4 linked regions of the Rhinolophus ferrumequinum genome follow. The protein of the gene in region 3 interacts with the protein of the main gene of each other region in a pairwise test. Links are inferred from orthologs where the notes say so. Each region holds a gene or a part of one and is shown on either strand. Other genes may lie near its edges. The genes, in order: ZBTB16, LATS1, LDOC1 and AP1M1.

The links.
Region 1: the proteins of LDOC1 (region 3) and ZBTB16 interact in binary tests that used the Homo sapiens proteins (3 or more experiments, as listed by UniProt). The two-hybrid records come from large-scale screens. The link is inferred for Rhinolophus ferrumequinum from reciprocal best matches to the Homo sapiens genes LDOC1 and ZBTB16.
Region 2: the proteins of LDOC1 (region 3) and LATS1 interact in a two-hybrid assay, tested with the Homo sapiens proteins (2 studies listed by BioGRID and IntAct). The two-hybrid records come from large-scale screens. The link is inferred for Rhinolophus ferrumequinum from reciprocal best matches to the Homo sapiens genes LDOC1 and LATS1.
Region 4: the proteins of LDOC1 (region 3) and AP1M1 interact in binary tests that used the Homo sapiens proteins (3 or more experiments, as listed by UniProt). The two-hybrid records come from large-scale screens. The link is inferred for Rhinolophus ferrumequinum from reciprocal best matches to the Homo sapiens genes LDOC1 and AP1M1.

What each region holds. Positions count from the first base shown.
Region 1 is NC_046294.1:83,543,955-83,551,027, reverse strand, and holds the start of ZBTB16 (zinc finger and BTB domain-containing protein 16), read right to left. Parts: upstream 3,077-7,073; 5' UTR 2,528-3,076; intron 2,399-2,527; exon of another isoform or gene 2,073-2,398; intron 1,962-2,072; exon of another isoform or gene 1,807-1,961; intron 1-1,806. UniProt on the Homo sapiens protein: Acts as a transcriptional repressor. Transcriptional repression may be mediated through recruitment of histone deacetylases to target promoters. May play a role in myeloid maturation and in the development and/or maintenance of other differentiated tissues.
Region 2 is NC_046286.1:93,093,454-93,101,529, reverse strand, and holds the start of LATS1 (serine/threonine-protein kinase LATS1), read left to right. Parts: upstream 1-5,001; 5' UTR 5,002-6,086; intron 6,087-8,076. UniProt on the Homo sapiens protein: Negative regulator of YAP1 in the Hippo signaling pathway that plays a pivotal role in organ size control and tumor suppression by restricting proliferation and promoting apoptosis.
Region 3 is NC_046284.1:15,202,712-15,209,454, reverse strand, and holds LDOC1 (protein LDOC1), read left to right. Parts: upstream 1-4,687; 5' UTR 4,688-4,886; coding exon 4,887-5,330; 3' UTR 5,331-6,120; downstream 6,121-6,743. UniProt on the Homo sapiens protein: May have an important role in the development and/or progression of some cancers.
Region 4 is NC_046301.1:49,788,658-49,796,391, reverse strand, and holds the start of AP1M1 (AP-1 complex subunit mu-1), read right to left. Parts: upstream 3,079-7,734; 5' UTR 2,951-3,078; coding exon 2,909-2,950; intron 1-2,908. Other genes in the region: protein FAM32A, read right to left, coding at 6,867-6,935, 7,215-7,268. UniProt on the Homo sapiens protein: Subunit of clathrin-associated adaptor protein complex 1 that plays a role in protein sorting in the trans-Golgi network (TGN) and endosomes.

The sequences.
Region 1 (7,073 bases), on a different chromosome or scaffold from region 3:
ATGAACACCAGGCGTGTCCCACAAGCTCCCAGGAGTGGGCAAGTCCTATGACTAGGAGCAGCAACTGATGCTGGACATGGCTTGGAGGTGCTAGAAGCAATATTGGCACCAGCCTCTATGGTATGAGTTACAACCAGTATGAAGGGAAGACAGGGCTGCGAAACAAAGGCCGCTCCCAGGGCGCAGTTCAGGATCAGTAACAGGGCCTGGGACTCTGAACTGTTTAAAGAGTGTTAAAAAGACTTCACAGGCCACGTCCTTCCCAGCCTCTGCCTTGCTGTGACCAGTATTTCAGTAAAATGACCTAGGAGCAAAGCAAAGCAGGGGTTCTCCTTCACTCTTCCAAAACAACTTGCCTAAGCCCCCAGAAGGAGCCTTATGGGTTCCAGAGCCACAAATCTCATGCAGAAAGGGTTAACAGGACTGCTAATCAAGACACTTTTGCTGCCCAGCCTGGAGTGGGGACTAAGGCCATCAAGGATGGGATGGCCATTCATCCCTGCTTAACCACTATGCGCTTTCCCGCAGACTTCAGGGTTTCAGAAAACTAGGAGGGAGCAATCGAAAGAATGGAAGCTGGGCTACCCGAATTCCTTCCCACAAGAAAGCTCCTTGGGTCCTGAGGGAAATCAGGGTGCCCTCGGTCAGCCGTCCCCCCCGACTCGCCTCTCAGCGCCCGCGATCTCAGGCCGGCGCTGACTGCAGCGCCCAGCCCTGCGCCGCGGTGAAAAGCCGGCGCTAACCCGCTCGAGCTCCGGGGATCGATCGCGCTCTCACACACCCCTAGTTCCCAGCCACCCCCACAAAGAGTTGGAAACGTGTTCGGCAAACTTGGGGAAGCAACTTTTCCCGGGGAACCAGACAGCAGAAGGAACGGGAGCCGGGCTAGGGAAGAGGAAAAGCGAAAGAGACCCGGACGAAAAGCAAGAGTCCGGGCGGGCTGGATGCCGGGGCAAGAGCGGCTAGGAGGCGGACCCACCCCGCAGCGAAGGGAAAGCACAAAAGCCGGACCGAGAGTTGTGGGAGCAAAGGAGAGAGTTGTGGGAGGAAAGGCAAGAAGGGATCCGCCAGCCTTCCCTGTCCGACCCAGGGCCGTGATCCCCGGGAGCGACGGGCAGGGTCACAGGCCGCGCGGGGCTGGAGCCTCCAGCAGCCGCCTTGCCCGGCCCAGGCACGGTGCGCGCGTCCCGTGGAGCGGACGAGTGAGTCGTTGCACAGTGCGTCTGTGCGTTCCAGCGGGTCGGCGGGCCAGCGAAACCGTGCGCATTTTGAGCGCTTGCGGGAGTGTTCCAGGGGCTGCGCGTGCGAGCCGCCGGTGCGCCGGGGTGGGAAAGGCATCCCGAACGCATCAGGTGCAAAGCTGGGACACCCACCGAGTACGGCCGGAAGCGCACAGCGAGCTCCGGCGCCACGGCCGGTCCCGCCGAGAGCCGAGGAGGGCCCGGAGCCCTGAAGACCCTCCGGAGCTCCGCCACGGCCGCCCTCCCCCCTAAACAGGGGGAATCAAGTCCAACCAAGGAAAAAAGGGCTCACCACGTTTTTACGAAGAAAAACAACACCCAAGTGAGTCCCACTCCTGCTCTCCTCCGCCCCCAGATCCACTCCACGGATCCCGATTCTGGCTTCCCAGCCGGCCGGCGAATAAACACACAAACCACAACCCTATCTCGCGACCGCGCACCGGTCCGCATACATATGAGCACCCACCCGCTCCCGGCTCCTCCGCCGGCCCCCGGCGGTACAAAGCCTCCCGATCCCCAACCCTCCGCTCGCGCCCTCAGCCCCCACACACCGCTCTGCCCCTACCTCTCACCCCGACCGTGCCCGGGTGCGGAAGGGTTGGGGTAGCAGCTGTGCCCAAGCTGACAGCCAGGGCTCCCCCTTCTAGTCGACCCCCAACCGGCGGTGGCGACGGCTGCAGCAGCAGGAAGGGAACAAGCCGAATAAAATCAGGCACAAGCTCAGCGGCCGAGTGGCTGAAGCGAGGGCGCCCCCAGACCTCTTCAGCCTCAGGGGCGCCCTGGCGCGCGTCTCTCGCTGGGCGGTGCGCCCCTCCCTAGCCCCTCACTCACCGCTGCCAAGCCGGGCGCTGTGGGGTGGGTGTGCGTGCCTCTTGGGGGGTGTGTGCCAGTGTCGGGGAAGGGTGTTGCTGGGGAACTGTTGCTCTCGGTATCACGGCGGCAGCGGCGGCATCGCCCGGCAGTTCGCAGTACCCGCTCTCATCGCCCTCAACTCCTCTCTGCTGCGAGGTTAGCAAATCACCACCGGCTTCGGCGCCTCCGCCGCGTCTCACGTCAACGCCGAGCCCCCTCCCCTACGAGGCCCCGGCGCCTCTCCATCTTTAGTGCTGGCGGCCGAGCCGGGCTCCTTGCCCACAGCTGCCCCCCTTCGCTCCCCCCTCCCGTGCCGTCCCCGAGCTCAGCCCGCCCACCCTTCCCCCCCCGCACTGGCCAAGCCGGCGCGCGCTCCCCGCCCCACCCCTCCCCTCCCTTCGCTCCCTCCCTCTCTCTCCCCTCCCCTCCCTTACCCGCGCGCGGCGCTCCGGGCTTCGCCTGACATCTAGCTGCTGCTGGGGCGCTGGCGGCCGCCGCTCACCCGCCTAGCGGAGAGGAAAGGAGATCGTGGAGAGGAAAGCCAGGGACTCGGAAGCCTAGTGGGGGCAGTGGAGGTGAGGTGCGGGGATCAGCCTCCACCTTCAACCCCGAGGTTTTTAATTTCCACTGGACACGGGTTTTGTTTCCCCCAGCTTCTCCAGGCGCGGAGTTTTGTCCCTGACTTCACTGTTTGTCCCAATTCAGTGTGTGTCCTCTCGCCTTTCACTTTTGCTCCGGGCTGGGGACTGCATCCCCTGTACTTCGACGTCGGTTTTAGAAGGTTGCTTTCCCAGCCCCAGCCCAGGCCTTCTGTGCCTCCCGGCTGCGGTGTGCCTCCGGGCGATGAGCAGCCGGATTGCGAGAAGTCTCCAGACGCAGATTTCGCTGACCGTGGTGAACCAAGTGCCAGAGGGTCCGCGGGGATCTGACGTTGGAGGTGGACGTCCCATTTCAGCTATCAGACCCCTGGGGGTTGAGGTCGAGGCCTGAGAGAAACTCTTCTCCCTCTCAGACTTGAGCATGCCCTCTTCTTTGCCCCCCCCCCCCCCCCCCCCCCGCCAAGGAACCCGGTTGGAAAGAGTTCCCAAGGACTGCGTCCTGCTCAGCGCAGGCTTCAGGGGACGGTGAAAGCTTGAAGGCCCCCCAAAGTGTTTCCTCTTCTCAACTGGTCGCTCCACTTTAGAGGGTAGACTTATCACTAACCCGGAGGTAGAGCAACCAAAAGAAATCTGCCCTTCCTCAGGCGGTCGAGAGTCCCCTTAGAGAGTCCCCTTCTCCCCCTGCCTTCTCCCTGAGCCTGGCGAAGGTAGGGGGCAAGAGGTGGCAAGCGCTTTTCTGCGTGCAGGCAGGCCGTGGTGCCCGACTAACGCTAAGGAGAGTGGGGTGGAGAGCTCCATCCCTGGGTCTCAGGACAGTCAGCCCCAGAGGTCATGCAGTCTTAGCAACGCGGCGCTTCAATCACGGAGTCTTGAGTCTCCACATTCTGCCGCTGACAAGCGGGTCGGTCAAAGTTTTTCCACAAGACTTCCGTATAATCACATCCCCATGTGTGCCTCGGTGCCTCCGCACTGCCCAGACGGACAGTCAGGCCCCAAGAACTGTAGGGTTATGGAAGGTGGCAGAAGCCAAGTAGAGACAAAAAATCCTCTTCGGGGTGCAAAACACTAGGAGGCAGAGTTTACAAATCATAACTGTTCTGGGTTCACAAGAGCTGCTAATGGGGTAGTCTCAAAGACAGGCAATTCCATCCCAGCAAGTGTCGCTCTTGTCTCCTACTCCCAGGGAAAGTGCTGGGGAGAGGACAGCAGAGGGCAGAGAAGCGCACTCCCAGGTGAAGGAAGAACGTTATCCTCTAATAGAGTACACAGCAACACCTGCCCAGGCATGGGAAAGCCCAAGCCCTGGGGATGCCTTGTGCTTAACAATAAAGAGGAATCCCCATTATAGACGATTTTTCTAGCTAGGGTCTTCGTGGTCTGTAAGATGAAAGGGATTTCAAGAAAGTGAAGAAAACTGGTCTGGAAAGAGATGAAGAAGGGAAGGATGCCAGAAGAGGAGAAAAGACACCCCCCCCCCCCATGCCTCACCAAGGCAATAGAAGAATCATTAAACTTGTTGCACTTCTGTCCAGGCGGTACCTGCTGAAGGTTGCTGCCTTGCAGTCCATATCCACTACCAGTCCCTCCCCAGCGCAGTAGCTGAAGCACAAATTAGCCCTTGATCCTAATCTTCTATTAATCCTTAAGTTAGAAAAAGGGAATCTTTGGAAACAATGGGAGAGAAAGAACAGTTCCTCAATGGCCCTGGACTCCCCCACCTTCCATGCCATACTCTATGTGAAAATCTCCCTTGCTTCATAAACTCTGCCTATTAAAAAGCCCAGCCCTTGTTAGTAAGTGTTAAAGAGAGATTAATGTCTGAATTTAAGAGGTGGAGAAGGTAACAAAAGGAGGAAGGCAGGCGAGGCTGTGGGCTGAGTGCCAGCATTGGGTTCCAAGCATTTCCACTTAGCGCTGAAGGCTGGCTGCAAGGCAGTTTGATAAGGTTTATTGGGTCCAGATAAAGCGGCAGCAGCTCTACCACCAAAACTGGCACCATTTATAGCCACAGCTATGTCCTTGGGTCCCTGGAACGCTGATGAGAATCCCCAGTTCAGAGATTTCATATGGCATCACCTAAAAACAAGCAGGATGGAAAATTACAAGAGAAAACTCTCTTTCTCTCTCTCTGTCTCTGTCTCTCTCATGTTCGTATATTTGTAATTTCTTTTTACTTTTTTCTTGAAAGGGGTGGTAAGGGAAGCGGGGACATCAGTTCTGACCAGTCCCTAAAAATAGAAGAGACCTCAGCCTGAGGGAGGTCATGCTGGAGACAAGGGAAGAGATGAGTTGACCTGTGGATGGAATTCCATTGCTAAATCTTCTTATTCCCTCATCACTTTTATTCATACACCTCCCACTGGTAGCAGCCTTTCAGAGCTCAGTTTGTGGAAGAGGATGGTTTATCAGGACTAAGATATCTTACAGGAAGGGGACAGTGGGAATAATACCTCATTCTGAATACTGACTATGAATCTTAACACATTACCTATGTTGTTTTATTTAGTCCTTGTAACAATCCTATTGATACAGGTACTATTATTTTCCCCATTTCTGCAGATGAGAAAAAAGGCTCAGAGACATTAAGTATCTTATCCAAGTTTGCAGAACTATTAAACATCAGAGCTGAGACTTTAAATCAGACCATTCCAACTACAAAGCTCCTGATCTTAACCTGCAAATTATACAGCCTCTAGCAAGATAGAAAAGGGAAACAAAGGATTTTAATTTTACTTTTCATCTTACTCCACTTATTACTCATCTTCTGTGCAGCAGCCACCAAGCTGAAGCCCAAACAGTTATCCACTGAATCAAACCACCAGGTAAATAGACTTAGAGCCCCCAGAATCTCTGCACTTTCCTTCCTTCCTCAAAATCTCAGGCAAAAGTGGAGGAGGGAGTTTTGAATTACAGTAAAACTTCAACTAAACAGATGCCCAGGAAGAAGGTTATAGTGTTGTTTTGACTACTCTGATTGTTAATGGAATGTTGCAACTCATTTTGTTCCAACTCCTTATTTGAAAAATAGTTTTAAATTGTAAAGGTAAACTTTCCTATCATGATAGATAAGTCAAGGACTCCTACCTTTAGGAGAAGAAGCTACTTTGCATTTCCCCAAAATCTTGTGATGAATGGGGAATTAAGTGTTTTCAGGGAGAGGTGCAGGCAGTGAAGCCCCTGAAAGGAAAAAGTAGTCTCCACTGCAATTGACAACTCCAGGTTGCTACTGGAGGCTGCACCAGGCTGTCACTCTCAGATCTTTACCCCACTGGAGACCCCTGGGGGAAGATAATAGCAAACATGTTGTGCCCTTTTCTAGTGGCAAAGGATCTTACAATGCTTCAAGGTCATTATTGCAGATATCTACTAGCTAGATGCAGATGATGTCAAAAATTAGGCAGAGTCGAATTTGCCCTCAGTGTATATATTGATAGTTTTCTTTGGTTTGCCTTTTTTTTTTTTTTTTTTTTTACATTTAATTCTATCACGTCCCTTCTTTAGATGCCTGCTCCAAAAAACAGAGGGGGGAAATAATCAAGTGATATGTGGATTCTGGTTACTTGAACCTGAGAAAACCAAATAAGAGGATGGCTTTTTTGACTACTAATTGCTACCTCTCCACCCCCATCCCCGTGGAGTCCTGGTTAGTGGCATTTACACACTTGGGCTTCTCTTCCAGGTTCTGTGTATGCCCTTCCTCTCATCTGTAGGGCAGAAAGTGACTTTTCAAAGGGAGAAGAAGAGAGGTTATTTATTTTAGCCGCTGAGGTCTTCAGTCACTAGGACCCCAAAATCTTCATGATTGAAGAAGAGAAAGCTTTTTCTACTCTCTTCCCCCAGCATATTGCAAATGGTGTTGGGACCGAATGTTGTCAACTCAAATAGCAAATCTGAGTTGTTATTAGTGCAAAGATGCCCTGAGGGGGTAGGCAGTGTGGATGAAATCTGCAACGGATGTTATGGGAAAGCGTGTTTATAATTATAATGGGATTTAATGTACACTGGGACCAGATGATGGCAGCCATTTAAAAAGAGATGCTTAATAAGAGAGGTCCCTTAATGACAGGCAGCAGGGCTCAGGTTATTATGGAAGAAGCACAGTGTTTCACTGGGTGTCACAAACCATGTGCCAGGTTTTATGGGATTCCTCACAAAGCTTTGGGGTGAGACATAGCAACCATTGCTGTCAGCTGTTGGGCATCATGTCTTAATGTGTTGTCTTTGAAAGAGCATCTACGCATAAGAGAAAGGCATTTTTCCCTTTTGGATACACATAAGCACAAACATACAGGCCCAGCGCCAACATTGAATAGTTTGGGGTGATTCTGGAAATCTGCTTTGTTCTGAGAAAGAGGGCCTCCATTTCAAAACTAAAATTTTG
Region 2 (8,076 bases), on a different chromosome or scaffold from region 3:
GATAGAGCATTATGGCAAGATTTTAGTGTTTGAGTGGGACTCAAAACATCCCTGTATAAAAAGGTAGAATGATGTTAATCGTGTGTTAATAAAATGATGTGAACCTACTATGAGACAGCCAATTTACCTAATTTGCATTATGTTGGGGTACTTTACCGTAAGGTTTCACTAAATAAATGAATTTTCATATGCTAAACTGAAATATGCTTCCATTTGTCTTTTTTCCTCAGAAGCCACAAAAAACATTCACATATTCCAAACTATATATCGTAGACTCTTTGGGGTAAAACTTTTTAATCCGTCTTTTTAATGGTTTCTTGTGAGCAACATTTCCTTCCCAGCCTTTCTTGCCCCTTCTTGGCTAAATCTTGCTTACCCTTCTGGACTCCTGTTTTCTCAAGAAAGCCTTCGTTGGCCTCAGACAATCTGGGCTGTATTGTACCGATTGCCCACTTCAAAAGCCCACTGTGTAGAGCTCTATTGTGCTTCTAGCAGTGTGTTAAACAGCCTGCCTCCCTCTACTGGACCACAAGCTCAAGAACAGGGCCCATGTCTTAGTGTTATAGTAACTATTTAATGCAGTATCTGATCCAAGTAAGCACTAACTCAGTGCAAACTGAACTGAACTCAATCTTGTTTTCCCTTTAAAAAAATACTGCCATTTGCCAAAGTCCATCTTTAAAGTATGACTTCCAAAATGAACAATTTTCCAGGTGGTGTCTGACTTGCTGAGAGTATGACAGAAATCTTACCATCCTGATTCTGGGCACCATATCTTCTGTAAAACTGTCTTAGCTGATTTTAACAATTCTGATACTTGTTCAGTTAGACTGCTGAACTAGTTGGACTTAAACCCGTAAATTATCAGACATGATACTCCTAAGCCATACTTCCCATATTCTTGAGTTAATGCACATGGTTTTGATCCTTTACTATAGGTCCATCTTTCCTGCTCCAAGAAGACAAATTTTATTTTTGTATAGAAAATAATTAGCCATCTCTTTTCAATCTTTTCTGTAAGAGCTAATTATTTTCAAAATTGCTCATCACGCTTTCTGCATTCTCATCCCACTGGTTAGGAGATAGGTTAAATGGACTAAAGTGCTTATGCCTACTCTTAAGAGTCCTCTCAATTACCAGTGATACATGAATCATTGGTATTTGGCTACAGTCACTGAAATATTTATAAACCAACCTAATTTATTGACATTCTGCCCCATTTATCTTGTTCACAAGGCTTACTGTGAGAAAACATCTATGCTGTAGCTATCATCCTATCAAAAAAATTGGCCTAATTTAAAAATTCCTTGTCCTTTGTGAAAATACCATAGTATTATGGAAATAACCTTTTAATAATCCATTCTAGATTCTTGTCCAAGAAGCATACTGAGTTCACCAGTGTACGGTGTTTATCAAGACTTCATTTAAGCTTACAGTATCAATGTCATATGTAGCTCAGACTAATTCGATGAAGCAGTAGCAGTGCTCTTGTTTTCCAGATGTGAAACCCAGGGAGATCTAAACTATGACACGCAACTATTTGAACTATTTCATTGACGTCATTCTTAACTACGATTAATTAAATGGCGGTGTAGAAGAACTAACAGCTACATCTGTGACTAGTCATCCTAGCATCAAAACAATTCCCAACAACGTTTCACTATACTAGAGGTGTACATGGAAGAAAAAAATGAAGGGATGGGCATGGTGAGAAGAGAGAAGTCGAATGACTAAAATCTAGCTGATCACTTAAATGTTTTTAATTAATGAAAAATAAACTAATGTTCAGTTCCAAACTGTCATGAGTGGACTTTGGGGGAAAGTAGCTGACAGACCAGCCTAACAAAGCCATCAGAAATGCATTCACTGTCAAAACAATTTTTGTGCAGGCCATGGCTATATGAAGTTAAACTGTAATACTAGAATATAAGAGACAAGATGGCATAAGTAGGTCAACACCGTGCCTGCTTCCTTCTGTGAACACATTAAAATTACAACTAAATTATAGAACACTCAACCTGCAGAACAATCTGAAGTCTGGCTGAACAGAAGTTTTATAACTAAGGATATAAAGAAGCCCGTGGAAACTGGTAGGAGGGGTGGAGATGTGGAACAGGCCCCACACCTGTATGTAGTGGTTGGGAATCAAAAGGGATATCACAGCTGTGAAGGTTCCCCCTGGAGAAGCAAGAGACCACAGCCCCACGCCGCCCTCCACAGCCCGAGTACTGTTGCCGGGAGGAGGAGCCTCCACAACATCTGGCTGTAGAAAACAATGGGGATTCCGACCATCTGGGTGGGATGTAAGTCTTCAGGAAACCCAGATTTCCTCTTAAATGGCCCTCACACAGACTCACTCACTCATAGGCACTTACCTTGGGCTCCAGAGGAGGGACAATGACTTGGGGGGCATCAGAGCCATACGGGGGGCAGAATGAGGTGTGTGGCCTCAGGGCAAGGGTTGAAGGACAGTCATTTTCCCTGTGAGGAGGCCTCCCGTGCCGCCAGAAGGCGGGTGCCATCTTTCCTGTATTGAGCCTGCCCCCTACAATTACAGCCAAATCTGAATCTGATTGGTCTCGTGAGCTCAGATGTAAAGTACAGCATAGGGAATATAGTCGATAATATGATAATAACTATGTATAGTGCCAGGTGGGTACTAGTCAGGAGGATCACTTCTTAAATTATATGAATGTCTAATCAATACGCTATACACCTGAGTTAATATAATATTGAAGGTGAACTGTAATTGGAAAATTTAAAAGGGGGAACGGTGAAAGGGTATAAGAGGTCCAAATTTCCAGTTATAAAACAAATAAGTCATGGAGATGTAATGTACAGCATAGGGAATATAGTTAATAATATTGTGATAGCGTGGTATGATGTCAGATGGGCTTATAATAGTGATCACTTCTTTAGGTATATAAATGTTGAATAACTATTGTGTACACCTGAAACTCTTATAATATTGTATGTTAGCTGTATTTTTAATACAAATCTTTTAAAAACACTAGTCTGTAAAATAATAGCTGCAACAAATCACAACAGTTTTTACCCCTGGATAGTATGGAATGAACTTAAATTTAAAATCTCTGCCATTCAGGTCCTATAAGCAATGATACACTAGTAACAATGAGCACACCTAGAAACCAGATTTGGTTTCTAATGCCCTTCTCCAGTAAAAGGAACCAGGGCTCCTTAAAGGGGTAGGATATACACAAGATAGCCTGAAGCATCTTGTAGTGCCAGAAAATAAGGAAGTTCTAAAAAAAATAAAAAGCCCACAATAATGGGAATATATCAAAGGGACACAGAAGCCAACCGGAAGAGCTCCCAATAACCAAGGTGGAACAATTTGATCAACAAAATAAATAAAATATCCAAAGTATAAATATCCATGAGTCCACATTGATATAAACGCTTGAATGAATGGGGGCGGAGACAAATCTCAGAATTCCAAATAATTTATGTAGATTCTCTGCCATCAAAGAGGCAGCAGAATACAGCACTCTTCTCCTTCGGTGTGGGCTGCTCATAGTCTAGAGCCTTCCCCTAAGATTGTATGAATTCTTGGGAGGGCTAATGCTGTCAGGGCTACCAATAGTCTCCAGACTTCTTCCGTGTGTGCTGCTCCTCCATTCCTCCATTCATCCGAGCATGAAATTTGGTCCCTACATAATGTTGGTAAAAATACAATGAAACCAAGAAATGCCACTTCCATGAAGCACTGAGGAGCTGAGAAAGCTGAAGCTGGATCAACGGTTTTCCATCACAGCAATACAAAGACCTTCAAATACAATGGCAGATATTGCCATTCTCAGATATCCAGCACCCCTAGTAAGCATTTCCCTGGTCTTTCACCTCCACCTCCACCTCCACCCCCACCTGCAGTCTCAGACCCTTTTCAAATCTTGTAGGTTAGTTCTCTCCTGATCACTCCTCTCCCTTCCCGGCCCTTTTGTCCCCCTACTTCACAGAAGTAAATCTCCTAGTCTTAGAAAGCACAATTCACAGAGCTCCTTGAATTATCTAGGAATTTTCCCGTACATGGTGGCCTGTGGAGCTACTCACCTTTATGCTTAGAGAGAATTGAGAAACTTCAGTGAGGAAGTTCAATGGGTTGGTGATAGAGATGATGACCCTCTGGAGGTAGGATGCTATTCCAGATACATAATCCTGGAAAGGGCAATCAGGACTGTGAATTTATTAGATTCAGATCATTTATATAATTTTGAGGCTGAAAGGGACCCTCGAGGTTACTTAGTTCTCCCATTGAAGCAAGTTATACCTAGGACTTTTAAGTGACCTTGGTTCATATTCTCTATTTCCTACAAACTCTGCTTGTGGAACAGAGTTTCAATCAAGTGCTCTTAGAATGTAATCTTTTTTTATTATTATTAATAGTTTCAGGTGTACAAAACAGTGTAATAGTTAGACATTTATACCCCACAAAGTGATAACCCCCTTCCCTAATCTACTACCCCTCTGACATCGTATATAGCTGTTACAGTTCCACTGACTCTATTCCTTATGCTGTACTCCACATCCTGTGACTATATATACATATATGTATTAAATTATAGTTGAGATTCATTATTATTCAGCTTCAGGTGTACACTGCAGTGGTCAGGCACCTCCACTGTCCATGAAGTGGTCTCCTTAATAAGACAAGTGTCCATCGGATACCCTATAAAATCTTTATGATATTATTAATTATATTCCCCAAACTGTCTTTCATATCCCTGTGGCCACCTTGTGGTTAATGACTGTGCTTTCTAATCCCCTCACCTTCTCCCTCATCCCCACCCCCTACCAGCTAGCAACCCTGTTTTTCCTCTATATCTCTGACACTGTTTCTGTTTGTTTTGTTCATTTATCTATTCTTTAGATTCCACATATAAGTGAGATCATATGGTATTTGTCTGTCTTCGTGTGGCTTATTTCACTTAACATAATGTTCTCTAGGTCCATCCATATCATTGCAAATGGTAATATTTAGAATGTAATCTTTTTAATAGAGGTTTTCATATTTGAACTTCTGGATACAGTAGCCAGTAACTAATTTAACATCAGAAAAAGAAGTCATTAAGTAAAAAAAAAATTAATAGACTCTAGTAGGAAAATAATGAACGGGGGTATTTGGAAATACCAACTGCATACATTTTCAAGAGGCAGAATTGGCCAAGGTGCTCTTTACAAACATCATAAACCCAATGATTCCATCCTAAATTTCCAATTCAATTTAACAAAAAACAAAACCTCTATTTCAGTCACCGTTATTACAGTTATCGCAATAGTGACTTTCTCTTCTACCGATTTGGTTGACAGATAAAAATCTTTAAACTCTGTTACTCTTTCTTGGTTCAAAATTATCTGGCTGACTCAGAAAATACTTAAAGTCACGGATTTACTGGGGGAAAGCGTGCTAAGCAAAAATCAATTTATTTCAAAGCTGCCAGAAATCCTGAACCTTTACGTCCACAGCGAAGTTTCAGAGAGCAAATCATTGCTGTTTCCTTCTGAGAATTAAGCTTCTTTGAGAGGCGCATCTTTATTCCATATCTGTCCATTGAAAGAGCTCACTTGAAAAAAAGACTGAAGTACATGCGTGGGCTTCAGCGGGCGAGAGCTTGGTCCCACGAACCGGGGCGAGTCACCTGGGCAGCGTGAGGCGGGGGCGACGCGGGGAGACGCTGGCGAACTCGCAGAGAGGGCAGCGGGTGGAGGGCAAGAGACCGCAGGCGGCGCTCTCCAGGCGGCCGGGCGGGCAGAAGCCCCCAGTCCTCGGGCCCCCGCGCAAGCGACGCCGGGAAATGCCCACATCCGGGAAACCTGCAGCGGAGTGCGGCGGCAGCGACACCGAGTGGAAGGCAAAATGGCGGCGGCGGCGGCGGCCTAGTGCTAAGGGGAGAGCCAGGTCCCCGCGACCCTCGCGACGGGCTGCGCTGGCCTGTGGCAGCCCCCCGGCCTCTCTCCCCGCCCTGCCCCACCGAGGATACTTGGGGTCCCTGGGAGGGACTCCGGCCGCCTTGGCGCCCGCCCTCCGGCCCGTGGCCGCTGTCCAGGAATCCCGCACTCCGTTGCTGGTAGGTCCGGGGCTAGCGTAACGGGTGGGGCGCATCTCTCCTTCGGAGGCCGAGTTGGCGGGGCGGTGGCCGCCGGGGCCCACGCCCATCCCGGCTGGCTGGGCTCCAGGGGCTGCTGCGACTGGCGGGCCGGCTCGGCCCGGTGCGGGCCTGAGTTGGCTGATTGCATGGACCTGAGAGGAGCCCTGCCCTGGGGAAGCGAGGGTTGGCCGTGCCGGGGGCTGGAGGAATAACCCCAGGCTTTGCGGCCTTGGAGGTGCAGGTTAAGCTGGAAAGAGCCTGCCTTGCTGAAGGCTTTGTGGCGACTGTCTGCCACCTCCATCCCCGTCCGCAGCACGCAGGGATCAACGGTGTTTAGGAAGGAAGGAAAGCGAAAGGTGGTTCTGAAGGAGAATTGCAGTGAAAGAGCTACAGTTCTTTGCAACCAGAGGGACCCGGTCGGTCCTGAATATACCTTGAAGAAATCCTAGGAATTTCTATGTACAGTCCACTGTAATGTTAGGTTACTGTTCATAGTTGGAAGGGGTGGGAGAGAGGGAGGGCTCTTTATGGAGTAGGAAGGAGTGTGTATATAAATACAGAAAATGAAGAAAGGAAAATTAAGGGAACATTATTTATTACAGCTTCAAGAAGAATTTGTATCTTAAAAAATGCCTCTCAGGTGACTTGATTTAACCCCATTCTCTGACTTTTTTAATTGAAAGTTATTTTTTAAAGGAACAAAATTTAATAGTTTGTCAACCCATATGTTAATATGACTTAAAATATATGTCATCACGTAGAAGTTATTCATAAACCTAGTAAGAAATATAGTCGCACACACAAATAATACTGTGCCACTCCAGTTTGGGAAGTGGATTTGAATGTCTGGAATCAGGAAGCTTGTCAGGGCTTTGTGGATTATTTATTGAAGATTTAAAATTTTTTATCAAATTTCCTCCATGAGGAAGAAAAGGTAAGAATATAATTGTTCGTTGTAATTACAATGAGTGTTCTCTGCTAAGATATCTACATTGTGATTTAACTAAGGTTATTTCTTTCCTTTAGTAAGTTGACAGACAGGTAAAATGGGCTAGTTGATTCCCTAAGGCAGTGGAGGAATTTGACTGATTTAACAGTAAAAGAAGTAGCATTGTGTTCCTCTGATCAGCTGCTACTGCAAGAAACTAGATCATGGTACATGCTGGAAAGGTGCAGTCTTTCTATGGCTAAATAGTTATTGAACATGCCATGCCACTCCCTAAAAGCAAATAAAAAATTTCTGCTACATTTTTTTGGGTATGATATCATCTGGATTTACTTCTGTAGTTTGAGTTTTTATTTTTTGGTTTTTGTTTTTAATGCTATTCCTTGATGTTTTATATAAATATGTATAGCCTTGGAACAGTTCCAATTCTGGTTATTTGGTTTTCACTTTAGATGTTAGGTTTAGATTAGTGGGGGATTTTTGTAGACCACAAAAGTTATTTAGTCATTGAGCAACATTTTTGTCACATAGACATGACAGTCATTTTTCAGCATGTAGATAAAATAACACTGATTGTCTTCACTTTTGATGAGTTAATTCTTAGAAAGCGAATTGAAGGATATATCATCATACAGAGATTCTTGATTATTGCTGTCTAAACAACTAAGACTGCTGCTAAGAAAGAAACAGTACATGTTACTGTTGCTATTCTCATAACTGATTTAGTCAGAGCGTTGAGACAGGCCATCTTTTTTATAAACCTAATTCAACCCAAGATAACACTCTGAAATGTGTTTTCCTAGGTTGGACAAGATATCAACAGTATTTCTTTGGATTTACTGACATTTGTTGTCATTTGATGAAAGTCTGAACTTTCAAAGAAATGTAGGTTTTGTCTGTTTAGTCTAACCAATTTCATTGTTCGTTCAAAGAATGAGTGAGTCCTGATCCCTGCTCTTAGGAAACTCATTTGAGTATATAGGTGTGCTGAAAGAGCCCTGAGCTGGTTCAGGATGTGTGGAA
Region 3 (6,743 bases):
GGTGCTCTCACCTTAGAGTTCCTCGCAGGACAGAAGTACTTGGACTATAACTCAATTGTACCCTCAGGATGTTAATTCATGGAGGTGATTGAATGACAATATGGAGCAGCCAGTGCCTCTGAAGGAAGCTTTTTTGTTATATTTCCTGAGGAGAGAGGGCGTGCCATATCATGCAGGGCCACAGAGGGAAGCATCAGATTTTAGTCAGGAGATAGAAAGGAGTAGGGGGAAGACATACGCCAGAGCCAATATTGGAGTTTCCACAGGAAAGAATAGGCAAGACTGGGGAAACAGTTTAAGATTAGCTAGTTTAAATCATTCCAGGAACTCTGGGGCAGAGTGGCTGACCCTAGTTGTCTGGTACTTGGCCCTGGGTTGATTTAGGGCAGGGGAAGTATTGACTGGATATGTGAGAATTAGATAAAGAACATGTTTTCAGACTAAGGGCTGTGGATCACAGGGGAGATTTAAACCACTTTGGCCATTAATTTGGCCCTGTAATTAATAGACACCAAATAGACAAATACAGAGGCTAAGAAACAGAACAGGACCATGGATTCATCACATCATATCAGATCTTTCGATGTGGGACTATGCTTTTATCTGTAGCATATCATGAGTGTCTTCATGTTTCAGTTCTCTACTGTCATGAAACAAATGATCCCAAAATTTTGTGCCATTTTATTTGCTCATGATTCTGTTGATTTGGAATTCGTGTAGGGCTTAGCCAGATGTTTTTTTGCCTCTCTATGTAGTCAGCTGGAGTCATTTAGTCAGCTTCATTCAGGCAGTGATTCTGCTGGCCTGGAAAGTCCAAGGAGGCCCTTCATTCTCATGTTTGTTTGCTGCTTCGCTCTTCCTCCACATGACCTCTCTTTATCCATGTGGCTAACTTGAGCTTCTTCACAGCATGGCGGTCTCGGGGCAATTAGACTTCTTATCTGGTGGCTGGCTCTGAGTAGGGAATATTCCAAGTGGCAAACACAGACTCTTCAGATCTTTAAGGCCTTGCTTCATAAGTTATAAGTTACTTCCATCATCCTTTATTTGTCAAATCAAGTCACAGAGCCAGCCCAGATTAAACAGGCAGGGAACATTGTTTCTACCTCTTAATGGACTAAGTGGCAAAGAATCTGTGGTTATCTTCAATTCTCCACACTCATTCTGCCTCCTAAAAACTTTAATGTAGATCAAAGTAAATGGCCCATTTGAAAGACAGGCCTAGTCTACATTTAAAACCAAACAAGTAAACACAAATTATGACAGGCCGCTCTTAATATCTCTAACAACAGATTTAACATGATGCCAGATACTTTCTAAAACATATGAAAATACCAGAAACAAACCAAGTGCATAAGCTCTTGTATGTTCAAAGTGACGAATTATATTGAAATAACTAGGAATGAGAACAACAATTTGTATAATAGTAGTATAATATACTATAGGCAATAAATTCTATTTTATAGTAATATAAAAACATATACATGAATACAAATTAATAATAAGACATTAGTTCATGAAAATCATCATTCAGTTATAGAAATCTGATTTCCCAGTTCCATATCTCTGGGACTGTGAGTATATTTGGCACCATCCGTCTCCTACTTCATCTGAGAAACTGAACAGAATATTATAATATTATATTAGACCCGGTCTTATGTTATATTAAGACCCGGTCTTATATTAATTTTTGCTCCAAAGGACGCATTAGAACTGATTGTCCGGCTAGGTCTTATTTTTGGGGAAACACGGTATCTCTGTGTCTCCTGACATGTAAGGTTTGACACATATATGTGTTAGCAAAACTATGTATATTAGGATTCTGCAAACATTTTATATGTATATACATATATATGTATATCTTTATCCATTCATTTGTTGGTGGACACTTTGATTGTTTCCATATATGTCTATTGTGAATAACGCTGCGGGATCAAAGAGGCAGCCCAAGTCAATCGCTAGAACCGTGTGGACAACAGGAAGTGTGTTCCTGAGAGTAGAACTCTGGGCATCTTTTCCTGTAGTAGGGTCTGGACATGGAAAGTGGAGCTGGATACTCACTGCTGCCCAAAGCAGGTCCACCTTCCACCCTGAGCTGTGAATGGACAGCATGGCCAGAAACCTACCACTGACATTTCCTGTGCCTGTATTTCATCCACTGAACATTTATGGAGCACCCAATAAACACTTTCAGATGCTGAAGGTCAAAGGATGAGTGAGAGAGGGTCCCTGCTTGGCCTCCAGGGGCTTCTCATATAGTGGAGGAACTCATATGACAGGCGAGCCCAAGGGCTCATATTCCTTCCCACCTGCTCTTTTCCCCGCCCACCGAATCAGCAGCCTGATCCTTCCTCCTCTCCTTATTGGACCTTGGCCCTGTTTCTCTCCTTTCTCTCAGCCTCTTATTTCCATGAATGCCCATTCAATTAAATTTGATTGTGAAAGGACTGAAGAGGGTTTTTCAAAAAATTACTTAGCCATTTTTATTATGTCAGTCATCATTTCACAATGGAGACTGATTCTTGATCATAGATAGAACATACCAGACAGTTTGAAGAGTATTTTTGGACACTATGCAGCCACCCCTTCTAAATCTTATTTCAACATTATCTGCACCCTGGGATTCTTTCATTCACCACACATTTATGGAGCTTCTACTCTGGGCCAAGCATTTTTCCAGGCATTAGGAATACAGCAGCTAACAAAGCAAATTGTCCACATAGACTTACATTCTAAAGTGGAGGCAGACTGACGAACAAAGTAATATATGACATGATGGCTGCTAATGAAAGGGTGAAATTCAGTGAATCAATAATGTAGTTACACTTAGCTAGTTTGCAGTTAGGTCCATCCTGACATTCAGCTGTTTTCTCTGTTTCTCCGCTCACTGACTGACTTAAAAACTCTGTTTTGTTCCCTTTCTCAAGGCTACCCATACCTCATTAATCCATTTACTCAACAGAATCCTAACCTGAAAAGAGCGATTTCTTAATCCTCAGGCGCCTGGACACTGGAATCCGTTTTGCAACTCCCTTGCAGTTTTTACTGGTGACACATAAAGCCCCAGGCCATGGTGGCCAAGTCCGGAGATAACATTATCTTAAAACAGACCAGACCCCATGAACTGAGGACAGTCCTGGGACCTGATTGACCCACCCGGCCTTTCCTTTGTTCTTCTCGTGTTCCTATAAAACCTTCTGACCGGTCTAGGAGCGAGGAGATGGACTTTGGACAGGAGTCCGCCATCATCCCAGAATGCTGGCATTCTGAATAAACCTGCTTTTCTTTTCACCAACCTTGTCTCTCCATGTTTAACTTTTTCAAGCGGCAGGCAGCCGGTCCTTAGCACGGTATCGCTAGTCTGATAAATGCCATGTAAAGAAATGAAGCATGGTGAGGGGTTAGAGATTACTGGTAGAGAGCAGGGTGCTAGATGAGGTGGTCAGGAGAGTCCTCTCCAAAAACATTAGGAGGTGGAGTCAGGCAGCTAACAGGGGAGAGCCTTTGCAAGGCAGAAATGATAGGAAGTGCAAAGATCCTGAGGCCAGAGCTACTTGATGCGTATGAAAATCAGTAAGGGGGACAATATGATTAGAACAGAGCAGGGAATGGGAAAAGGCACAGAGGGTGATGCAGGGCCTTGACTGCTATGACCCAGATTTTGCTTCTTCTTTTGAGTGAGAAGAAAAAACCGTTGGAGGGTTTTGCACAGGGAAAACTTTTGTTCTAAAGAATTCCTGTACCTACACTGTGGAGAATACATACACTGGAGGAAGAGAAGAGTGAAAGCTAAGAGATTAGTTGCAGCAATCCAGGTGAGAAAGGAAGGCTGGGATCAGGGTGGTAGCGGTAGAAGTGACACGAAGTGATTGAATTGGGGATCTCTTTTAAAAGCAGAGCCCACAGACAAAGTTGGCTCTAAGGTCTTGGACACAACTCAGTTGTCAACAACTATTGGAGTAATCACATTCAAAGTAGAAAAACAAAACCATTTAAAAACACAAGTCTTCATTGTTAAGCAAAGAATAATACCCAGTGGCCAAGGGACACTAATATTATGAAGTGAAATAGTCAAAGATAGCAGGATGCCTGCATATGTTTGTCGGATAATTTTGCAGAACTTTTTATACTTCGCTATTTAGAAAAATAATAATGAAAAACGACAGATACACAATATTATTTCCCAACTAAAGAACAATCCCTGTTTAAATAATATTTTGTCTGAAAGACAGGACTCCTGAGGGTCTTTCATTACTCGGAAAGAATGTGTGACTCCCGCGTTGCGGCCAGCAGTGCTAATAGCTGTCTGGATGGATGAAGTTTAAATAAGCAAGAAAATGTGTTAATAAACATCATACAAATGGAATCTAATGGCCACAGGCCCAGTAAGGAACATTGAATTGGGTGACTCAGCTGGGATGAAGGGTGGTTAACCCTTTAAACTTGAGCAGGTTGGCCCTCTGTGAGAGACGGGTCTTAGGGCTCGCTGTGTCCTGGCTAATGCCTGTCCCACATACCCTGCCTTTATCCGCCCGCCGTCAGACCTACCAGCCCTGGGCCCCGGGAACCTGCCCGCCCCTCCCCTGGCCACGCCCTCCGTGGTCACGTCGCCGCGGCCCTGCCCACCCCCTCTGACCCCGCCCCCACGCAGCGCCAGTGTCTTCTCTGGACACGCCCCCCCTCCTCCCTGGGCCGCGCTGGCGCGGGGGCCGCGCCCGCGGCTTTGTGGGCGGGTCTTGCGCAGCCGCCGGGACCCCTGCGTGCACGGCTCTCCACCCCTGGCCACCCGCGCCTCCGCGGACACGCACTTCCTGCGAGGCCTCCCTGCGCACCTTAGGCGAGCCGAACCCAGCCGAGCCCAGCCGTGCCTTTCCAAGCGGTTCGCCATGGTGGACGAGCTGGTGCTGCTGCTGCACGCGCTCCTGGTGCGGCACCGCGCCCTGAGCATCGAGAACAGCCAGCTCATGGAACAGCTGCGGCTGCTGGTGTGCGAGAGGGCCACCCTGCTGCGCCAGGTACGTCCGCCGAGCTGCCCGGTGCCCTTCCCCGAAACGTTTAACGGCGAGAGCTCCCGGCTCCCCGAGTTTATCGTGCAGACGGCGTCTTACATGCTTGTCAACGAGAACCGGTTCTGCAACGACGCTATGAAGGTGGCGTTCCTAATCAGCCTGCTCACCGGGGAAGCCGAGGAGTGGGTGGTGCCCTACATTGAGATGGATAGCCCCCTCCTAAGTGATTACAGGGCCTTCCTCGAGGAGATGAAACAGTGTTTTGGCTGGGATGACGACGAAGAAGACGACGATGATGACGAAGAAGAAGATGATTACTAGGCCTGGAGACCCTCGGGCCTAAGGGGGAAGGGCTCTGCACGCCGCCACCTCCCTCCCCTCCTTCCTGCCCCTCCCGGAGCCACCGTACTCCCCCTAATCCTCCGATCTTCTTCCCTCCCCCAACCTCTGGTCCTCTCCCTCATCCCCCGGAGTGCTTGTCTTTGTTCCAGAAATTGTGCTCCAATTACGTGCTGGGGCTGGGGGTTTGCTCTGAAGCGCGCTGCCACCCACTCTGGCCAGCCCTGGGAAGCACCCCTGCAAATGTGGACTGTGTCCTGAGCCCCAGCGCTAAGGCAGGTCCCTGTTACCAACTGGTCAGATTATGCACTGCCCTGCCAACTGCCAGGCCAACATCTGCCCAGAGAACTACGCTGCCACGACACCACCATCCACCACGTTCTTGCGACTGACCACCGCCTTTGGAGATAAGGACCAACCTACAGGATGCCTGAGTTGGCTACAGCTCCTTGGACATTTATTTGGACAGCTCACAACCCCCGAAGGGGCCAGTCTTTCGACCTGGTTAGTTCCCTACCTATTTCCAGAGTCCTCCCCTACACCACCAGATTGCTGCAGGGGCCTAGTGTGCCTGGCAGCCAAATTGTTGACATTTCTTTTCTCCTATGCACTACTTTTGCACAGCTGTCATTTTCTTTAAAAATTGCAGCAGTCTCAAAAGAAAAACAGGCACTCAGCCAAGCTTCTCAATACTACCTGGAAAAAGCACTTGCGTTCTTTTCAATAAATATCAAGCACTACGAAAAAAACAAAAGGAGTGTCTTTTAATGGTTAAGTGCTATCACTGGCCCCTACCACTTTCACTCGGCCTCCCAGTATTCCCACTGAGATCAGGTAACTTAGTTCAATCCCAGAATTCCCCACTGTCATCTCTAGGCTACAGAGGACAGCTACCATAGGGCTTTATAGGGATTCTGGTGCTCCCCCTACTAAGGCATTTCTTAAAGCCCTGGTGAAGGGAGTGTCCTCTGGGGCCTCCAGGGTGGCATGGGGTAAGGGTGGCCAAGCGGGTAGCACACCATCTCTAACTGGGACACTTGGGAGTGAAAGGGGGCACTATTAATAATTAGGCTGGGACACCAGGCATGAATCTGGACACATACAATGTTCCTATCTTCCTGAGCCTTTGGATTCTTTCCTCAACCCTGCCAGGGAAATTCGGCCCCTTAATCCTTACTGCCTGTGGGGTGCTGTGGAATTCAGGCTTTAATTAACAATGGAGCACAGTATTATCATGCCCCTTTCAGGTGCTTGAGCTAACATTACATTCTGGATCCTGAGTAAGTGCACCTTGCTAAATAGAGCCTGATCTTAACATTTTATTCTCCTTGGGCAGACACCCTTAGAATCCTCACCCATTCATGTGCCCCAGATTCCTGCCTAAGAAATTGGCAA
Region 4 (7,734 bases), on a different chromosome or scaffold from region 3:
GTGCAGTGAACATGGATACAAAGATGATAAAAAGGCCGGCCCGGTGGCTCAGGCGGTTGGTGCTCAGTTCAATTACCACATGGGCCAGTGGGCTCTCAACCACAAGGTTGCCAGTTCAACTCCCGCAAGGGATGGTGGGCTGTGCCCCCTGCAACTAACAACGGCAACTGGACCTGGAGCTAAGCTGCGCCCTCCACAACTAAGACTGAAAGGACAACAACTTGACTTGGAAAAAATCCTGGAAGTACACACTGTTCCCCAATAAAGTCCTGTTCCCCTTCCCCAATAAAATCTTTAAAAAAAAAAAAAAGTGATGAAAAGGAGGCCAGGCTAATGGCCAGGTCTCTAATGCAGGCAGTCCCATAGATGGCAGTGTCACTCACTGAAATGGAGAGCGAGCAGCTTTGGGGGGGGTGGCGGGAGTTCATTTTGGGAAATGCCAAGTTTGCAGTGGTTGTGGGACCTCCACTGTGTCCCAGAGGCCAGTGGGTCTCCAGATAAGTGCTCTGGACTGTGGTACAAATTTGAGTCACTGGCACACTGACATGAATCAAAGCCAGTCTGAGGAAAAGACAGTACAGGAGCTATACGTAGGCCCCAGCCTGATAGGCCAACATCTCCAGGGGAGAAGGGACCTGCAACCGCTGAGAGAAACAGGAGGCAAACAGAGTGCAGCCACCTGGAGCCAGCGGAAGCCCTGACAGTGGGAGTGGTGTCAGAAGCTGCAGAGAAGCAAGGAAAGTAAGGGGAGAGCTTTCTATCAGCTAAGTGTGGCCACACTGGATTCCCTGGTGATCAGAGGCTCTGGTTGGCAGATAGACACATGGTCATGTATTTCTTCATGTGCCATGACCTTATTTTGGATTAAATGAAGTCTGCGCTAGAGGCAAACTTCCAAAACACGAGCTCCGTGGGGAATGGGGAGTGGAATAATAAATGACGTGACGGTTGCTGAAAATGGGAAGGAAGCCCGTGGCTGCTCGGGAGCGTCCCTCAAGGCCGACTGGCCATGCTTCTCCTGGGCTATAATCTTCTTTTGGTGGCTCCTCCTTCCTGGGATCAAAATGGCCCCTTATGGACCTCACTCCTGTCTGGACATCTTCAACGGCCAGTCCTCCTGGCACCACCCTCCAGGCTCGTGTTACCCAGGACTTTCAGCTGCTCCTTGCCCCTTGGGCCCATTGCAACTCCTACCTGTCCACCTGACTGCCACCTGATCACCTTTCCAGCTTTTCCAGGAAGCATTTTGTAACCACCTCTCCAACCAAAACTGAGGTTAGGTAATTATATAACCTGGGGCTTTGTTCATGCCCATGTGACTAATTGGATCTGACCATCTGGATCCATGTACCCCCCTGCCAGACCTCCAGGCCCAGGGGAACTTGCAAGGACAGTGGGCTCAGAGGGGTGAAGGCACTTGCCCAAGGTCACATCACTGAGCAGCAGAGATGAGTTTTGACCTCAGCCCTAACTCCATAGTAACAGTGAGATAGTCAGCACAGGGCTTGGTACATGCTGGGTGCTGCTGAAATGTTTGTTGAAGGAACAAGTGAGCTGTGACAGGAAGCCTGTGGGACCTCTTGGGACATGGTGGCCACAGTGGAAGCAAGAACATGTGCTACCAGGACTCAGGAAACACTGCACCCACCTTGCGCACCTTGTATCGTTCTTTGCCTCTAAGGCCATGGACGGAAGCCCAACACTGGGACTCACAGGCTGTTGACTCTGGGTGGCATCCAAGGCAGGCAACCTACTCAAGGGACTCTGGGAAAGTACTGGGGGTGGGGAGTCGGGCAGGAAGGGACAGCCACTTCCAACTTGACTCCCCCCTGCTTCTGAGCTAACTCCTGCCTGCCCCCCCTAAGCCCAACACCCAGTAAGTTCTCTCACTGATCGATGTGGGACTTAAGGTTTAATGTAGCTGGACCTGTTCTCATTGCTCCCAGTTGTAAGAGGCCAGACATTCACTTGCCTTCCATCCAGGAAAGGCAACAACCAATTTCTGAAAGGCTTCAAGAGCCCTAGTTATGCTCAACTCCTCCTTCATATCTCAGTCTGATTTATCACTCCCTCCAGGAAGCCCTCCCTGACCACCAGCTGAGGCTGACTCTCCCTATTGTATCTTCACTGCAAAATCATTGCAATTTACATTTATTTGTGCTTTTTAGATCAGTGTGCCTCTCCCTCGCCAGACTGGGAGCTCCAGAGGGACAGCACCTGACTCGGATTTTGCTCAAAATGGCCTAAGAGTTAGCACCCTGCCTGGCACCTAGGAGGTGCTCCTCAAATTAACAGCTGAATGAACAAATCATTCTGGGTTCGACTCCTAAACCTGCCACATCTCTGTGACGGGTACGACCTTAGGCGGGTTATGGAACCTCTTCATGCCTCAGTTTCTCTCTCCTGTAAAATGGCTCGCCCACCACCCACCTCACCTAACCTTTGTAAATTAATGTCACAACGAACGTTAAGAAATTCATACAGACCAGCACAGAGAAATAACCAGATAAACAGAAGCGGCTGTGCTCCCAGAGGGCACACTGGCCCCGACACGCCTTGCCACCTCCGTCCGGCCAAGGGTCGGGGAGCCGCTGCCTCCGGAAGGCCTGGCTTAGAAGCTGGATGCTGCTCGCCGTCTCCGCAGCCCCCAAGGAGGCCTGAGCTTCCGGCCCACAGGGGGAGCGGGGTCGTGCGGCCGGTTACCTAGCAACAAGGCAGGTCTCGTAGACCAGAGACCGCAGCCTGGCAACCCAGCAACAGGATGGGACCCTCAGGTGAGACCTATCGGTCTCTTTGCTTAGGACCAGGGTGGGTCCCATTGACCGGCTGCCTAGCAACAGGGTGGGTCCCCAAGGGCGAGGTCCCCGCCGGCAGCCTGGCAACGGGGAGGGTGGGGAGCCCTCCGTACCTTGCCCTTCAGGTCCAGCACGTAGACAGCACTGGCGGACATGGCGGCTGCGGGAAGCCTCGGCAATAGCCGAGGGCGGCGGCGACAGCGGGGACTGCCGGGCGTTGAGGAAGGCCAGGCACGCCCCGCGACGGTTCGACTCCACTTCCGGTCCGGGGAGCCGCGCGCGGACCGTTATGTCCGGTCGAGGGAGGAGCTACTAGGAATGCGCAGGCGCAGGGCGGAATGTGCGCAGGCGTAGTACGCCCTATGTGACGTTATTTTCCGCTCGGAAAGCATCCCGGAAGTAAGACGCATAGCGTCGGGGTTGTTGCAGCTCACTGATACAGGGCACCCTCTAACTACCCAGCTGGGCGACGAAGCCTTGAAAGCTGGAAACCCTCTCGTGTGAACCAAGTTAGGTGAGAGGTCCCGGTGGTTGATCCTACATGGGGCCCAGGCCTGTGAAACTCCTATTCTGGTGGAGGAGTGTATGAAAAAAATTAATATGCAGTCACCAATTGTGATACGGTTTATGGGGAGGAGTAAGGTGGTGGTTCCTTGGAAAGAGGGCAAACAACTCTGAATAGCAATCAACCCTTATCAACAGGAGCTAAGTGAACAGCGTCACCTGTCACTGTCAACATTCGTGAGCAGGCGAGCCTGTTTATTGCCTGGAATGATCTGAAAACCACGGGTTTTATTTCTGTAATTAGTGCCCACTGGTGGTGAAGCAGGGCCCAGCTGGGCCCCCAGTACTCAGAATGCCTCCGGGATGCCCTGCCCCCCTCCTGGCTGGCTTCCCTCTGCGGCTTGAACTCAGAGTGCCTCCGAGAGACCCAGGGCCAACCGAGTTCAGGACTCCAGCTGCGTGCACGGCTCGCTCAACCACTAGACCGACACAGGAGTTGGGTCATGGAATAAGCATTTATTATCAGAGCCCTGGTGGTCTGAGAAGACAGCGGGTTAACACCTCCAAAAATTGCCTTAATATTCTCAGACCAGCTTGGGGTATTTAAGAGAAAATCTGGGCGTTCCTCTAGAGATTATGTGAAAGTTCTGGGGGTCTGCAGGAAGCCTTCCCTCTGGCAACATGATTCTCTGGTGGCGGACTCAGCAACGTAGGAAAAAAGATGGGAGTAGCCCGGTAGACCATTGAGAATGTTATCAATAAGCCTAAGGGTATTAATCCTAAATTTCAGGGTAATTTTCTAAAACAGGGAGGGAACTGGGTGGGACAGGGTACTTTCTGAGCTCAAGCTGCAGGGGGATGATCTATTTTTAAGCTATATATAGGTCAAGGAAAGGTGGGACGTTGCAAGGCCTCTATTACAGAGGTCCCAACCAGGCCCTGCTTCAGTTGTGGGTAATGCAAATTGTGAACCCTGATTAATCAATTGAATGGTATCTCATTTGCTTTCATGAACATTTGGGCTGTGGAGAAATGCCTACATTCTGTGCCAATGAGCCATCACAGTGCCTTGGGGATCTCAACCCTGCAATATCAGAACAATTTACTCTCTTTTGATCTTCCCTCCTATCTCTGTCTGGGGTTTTGAAAGGTGGCTTTTGCAATATGTCCTCTGCTTAGGATAGAGATGAAAGTGCAGGAAAATCCAGACAAGAACACTGGAATATTGGAGCACTGCTAACTAAATCGTGGGATGGAAGCATTCTAGCACAAAGCAGTCAAGATAGACATTTTGACAGTTTTCTTGTAAGAAACCCTATTGCACCTACCCTCATACTTTGCTCAATTTATGGCAATGTTAGAAAATCATGTCTGTTTTTAATTAAAAAGCCAAAACCTATAAGGCAAAAAGAAAAACCAGCCAGGAGAGGAGACGTCTCTCATTATGGAACATTTTCAAGCTTGCTCTGGGCGTTTAGATATTTAATACTAGGTATCACAGGGGCTGGGTGGACAAACGTCTTTTGAGGAATCAGACTCCTACATGCCAAGAGGACTGTCACAGTAAACACTTCACACATAAATTACTTGTAACGTCCTTTGCTCCTTATGTGGGGAAATTCAGAGCCACATCTGAATTTCACCCTTGGCATTTATATTTAATGTATAAGCCAGATTTAGCCTCTGCAACATCTCAGAAAAGACTTTACTGTGGTAGATCAGGGTTTCTCAAAGTTTGCTGTATATTAGGGTCACCTGGGGAGCTCTGAAAACTCTCAATGACTGAACCCCACTCCAGGCAGTGTCAGTGGTTTTTAATGCTCCCCAAGTCTAACATATCCGAATTTGAGAGCCACTGTGGTAGGCTGTAACAGTGATGGCTCCCAATAAACCATGTCTCCTGTTGTTCATGCCCTAGAGTAGTTCCCGCCCAGACTGAGTTTGATGTGACTTGGGTTGAGCAATGAAATAGCCTGTGTGGGGAGAGATTCTGGAGAATGAGATGCCATCTTGGACTTTCTGGCTCTGGGCAAGTCGACCCAGCTACACAAATGAACTAAACTCCACATGGAGCAGAAGAACCACTTGGCTGAGCACAACCAACCCACAGAATAGTGAAGAGAGAAATCCTATGGTTTTTAAACTACACCCGTTTTGGAGCGGTTTGTTAGGCAGGGAGAATTGGAATATTTATCTTCTACCATACTGACTTTCCACAGCACGTCATGCTCACAGACCCCGACTGCTGGCTCATGAACAGAAAAGATCTGAATATGACTTTCCACGAGGCAATGGGGGAGTCTGCCCAAAGGACCCACTGCTAATGAGAGTATGTCATGTCTTTTAGGTGGGTTTCGAACCACAGGTGGAAACATGTCATCCAATTTTCTCCAAATTGAGGGCAAACAGTGGTTTTGTAGTACGCATATTTTTCATGTGCAATAAATTCAAAGGCAGTGTTTCTAGTGATAAACAGCCTATAATTAAGACACTCAGACTTATATTTAATAACTGGTTTTTGTTTTATTCTGCAGTTCACATGTTAGAGCTGCAAAACCAATACTTCAGATTTTCTCTTCTGACTTTGTTATTCTTTTAGATCTATTATCAACAGAGACCATTTGTCCCAGGAGCATATGCAGTCTGATTCTCATGCAGTGGGGACATACAGTCCCTCACAGATCCTGGCTCTCCAGCACTGGAAGTTGGGTCCTCCCCTTTGAATGCACCCATGTCTGTCTGTGCTAAGGCTCTGCCCTGGTCCCGTCACCAAGAGGTGTCCTTAGGCCAGGAATGCCACATAGGTATTATGTATGTGCCAACTATGAATAAACGGGGCTACTTGGAGCCCAGGGTTGAGGGTAGTGAGGCAGGCAGTGTCCGGGTTCCATTACAAAGAATATGGTACTCGATTGGCAATGTCTGCCATGGCAACACCCACTGGACATGTCTGGAATGGGGATACTGGGGGAACAGGCTGCATGCCAGCCACCAGCTCAGCTCAGAAAGGGACAAGGCATTTGTTCCATCCTTGCCTTGGGTGGTTATTCTCCCTGGCCAGGTGGCTGAGGAAGCAATCTGAAGGCCACCAAGCTGCAAGTGGCTTCCCTGGGCCCTGGATGGAACAGCATAAGCCCCAAGCTAGAGGGAGCTCAAAAGGGCAACATATGCCGGGCCCCACATGCAGGGCTCCATGCGAGTCTGCACGTTGCAGCTCCTTCTCCTCTGAAGTCAGTTTCATCCAGGCAAAGATAGCTGGCTGGATGTCAAAATGAGTTAGATGCAACAGAAATAACCTTAATCTCTGGGTAAATTCTCAATAATTTCCAGTCCAAACTACAAAGTTTCATCTTCAATGTGCTCTTGAGAAACTAACATAGACCAAAAGGATAGTCTTACTTTAATCAAGTTCCAGAATGAGGGCACACTGCTTTGAAAAGCACTGTCTCAGCAGGAGACGCCATGGTGTGTATAAAAGAATGTTTCTAAAAAATACCAAAGGCACCAAATAGAACCCAACTTGACCTTGTTTCCCCAAGGTGTCACTCCATAGCCCAGGTGGGGAGGCTACTTCGTCCAGCTGACTTTGGGAATGTCATAGTGCTCTGTGAGCGTATCCAAGTGTCTGTTAAAGTCCTAGGGAAGCCGAAGAGAAAGCCCGCATCAGCACAGCACCACGCAGCGATATGGAGCACTACCACCCGCACTACTCCACACCCTGCCTCCCCTCGGTGAGCCCTCTCCTCTCAGAGCCACCCTGCCAGGCCTTATCGCAGTCAGAACGCTGGCATCTCTCTTCAAGGACCCCAAAGAGGTTGGGTAAACCCCCTCCTGGCTGACATTCCATCGGATCCTCTGCCTGGGCCCAGCTGGGACTTACATGGTTCAGCCTTCAGCACTGGGCACGTGACTTACCTCAACTCTTTGCTTGTGGGTTTTGGATGCTTTCTTCAGGATCCTTTCCATTTGCTGAAAAGAGGAGAGAAATGCAGGTGAGTCATGTGTTCAATACAGCCCAGACCAGCACAAGATGGAAGATGCGAGCCCTAGCCGGCCTGGTTCTCACACCTAAAACAGCTGGAGGTCTCAGTTCCCTCCGCTGCACTCAGGCTGGTCCGACAGACCAGACCTTTGGCTACAACACATTCCCCCAGAAACCCAGGTCAGCTGCCCTTTGGTCTGAGTGGCAGGAAATGTACTAGCACCGACTAGACTCTGCTGGGAGCTGTACAAGTGCTTCCTGCTTCCTTGGGCAATTGACAGAAATCTCATTTTGCAGGAAAAAAAAGTCCCAGATGGGGTTTGAGGAAGGATGAAAAATGAGGAAAGGACCTGGCACATAGTAGATGCTTGAGTGACACTGCCAGGAGGGCTGCAAGATCCAAATCCCCTTCACAAGTGACTCTGGACTATGCATCCAGCATCACCACAACCT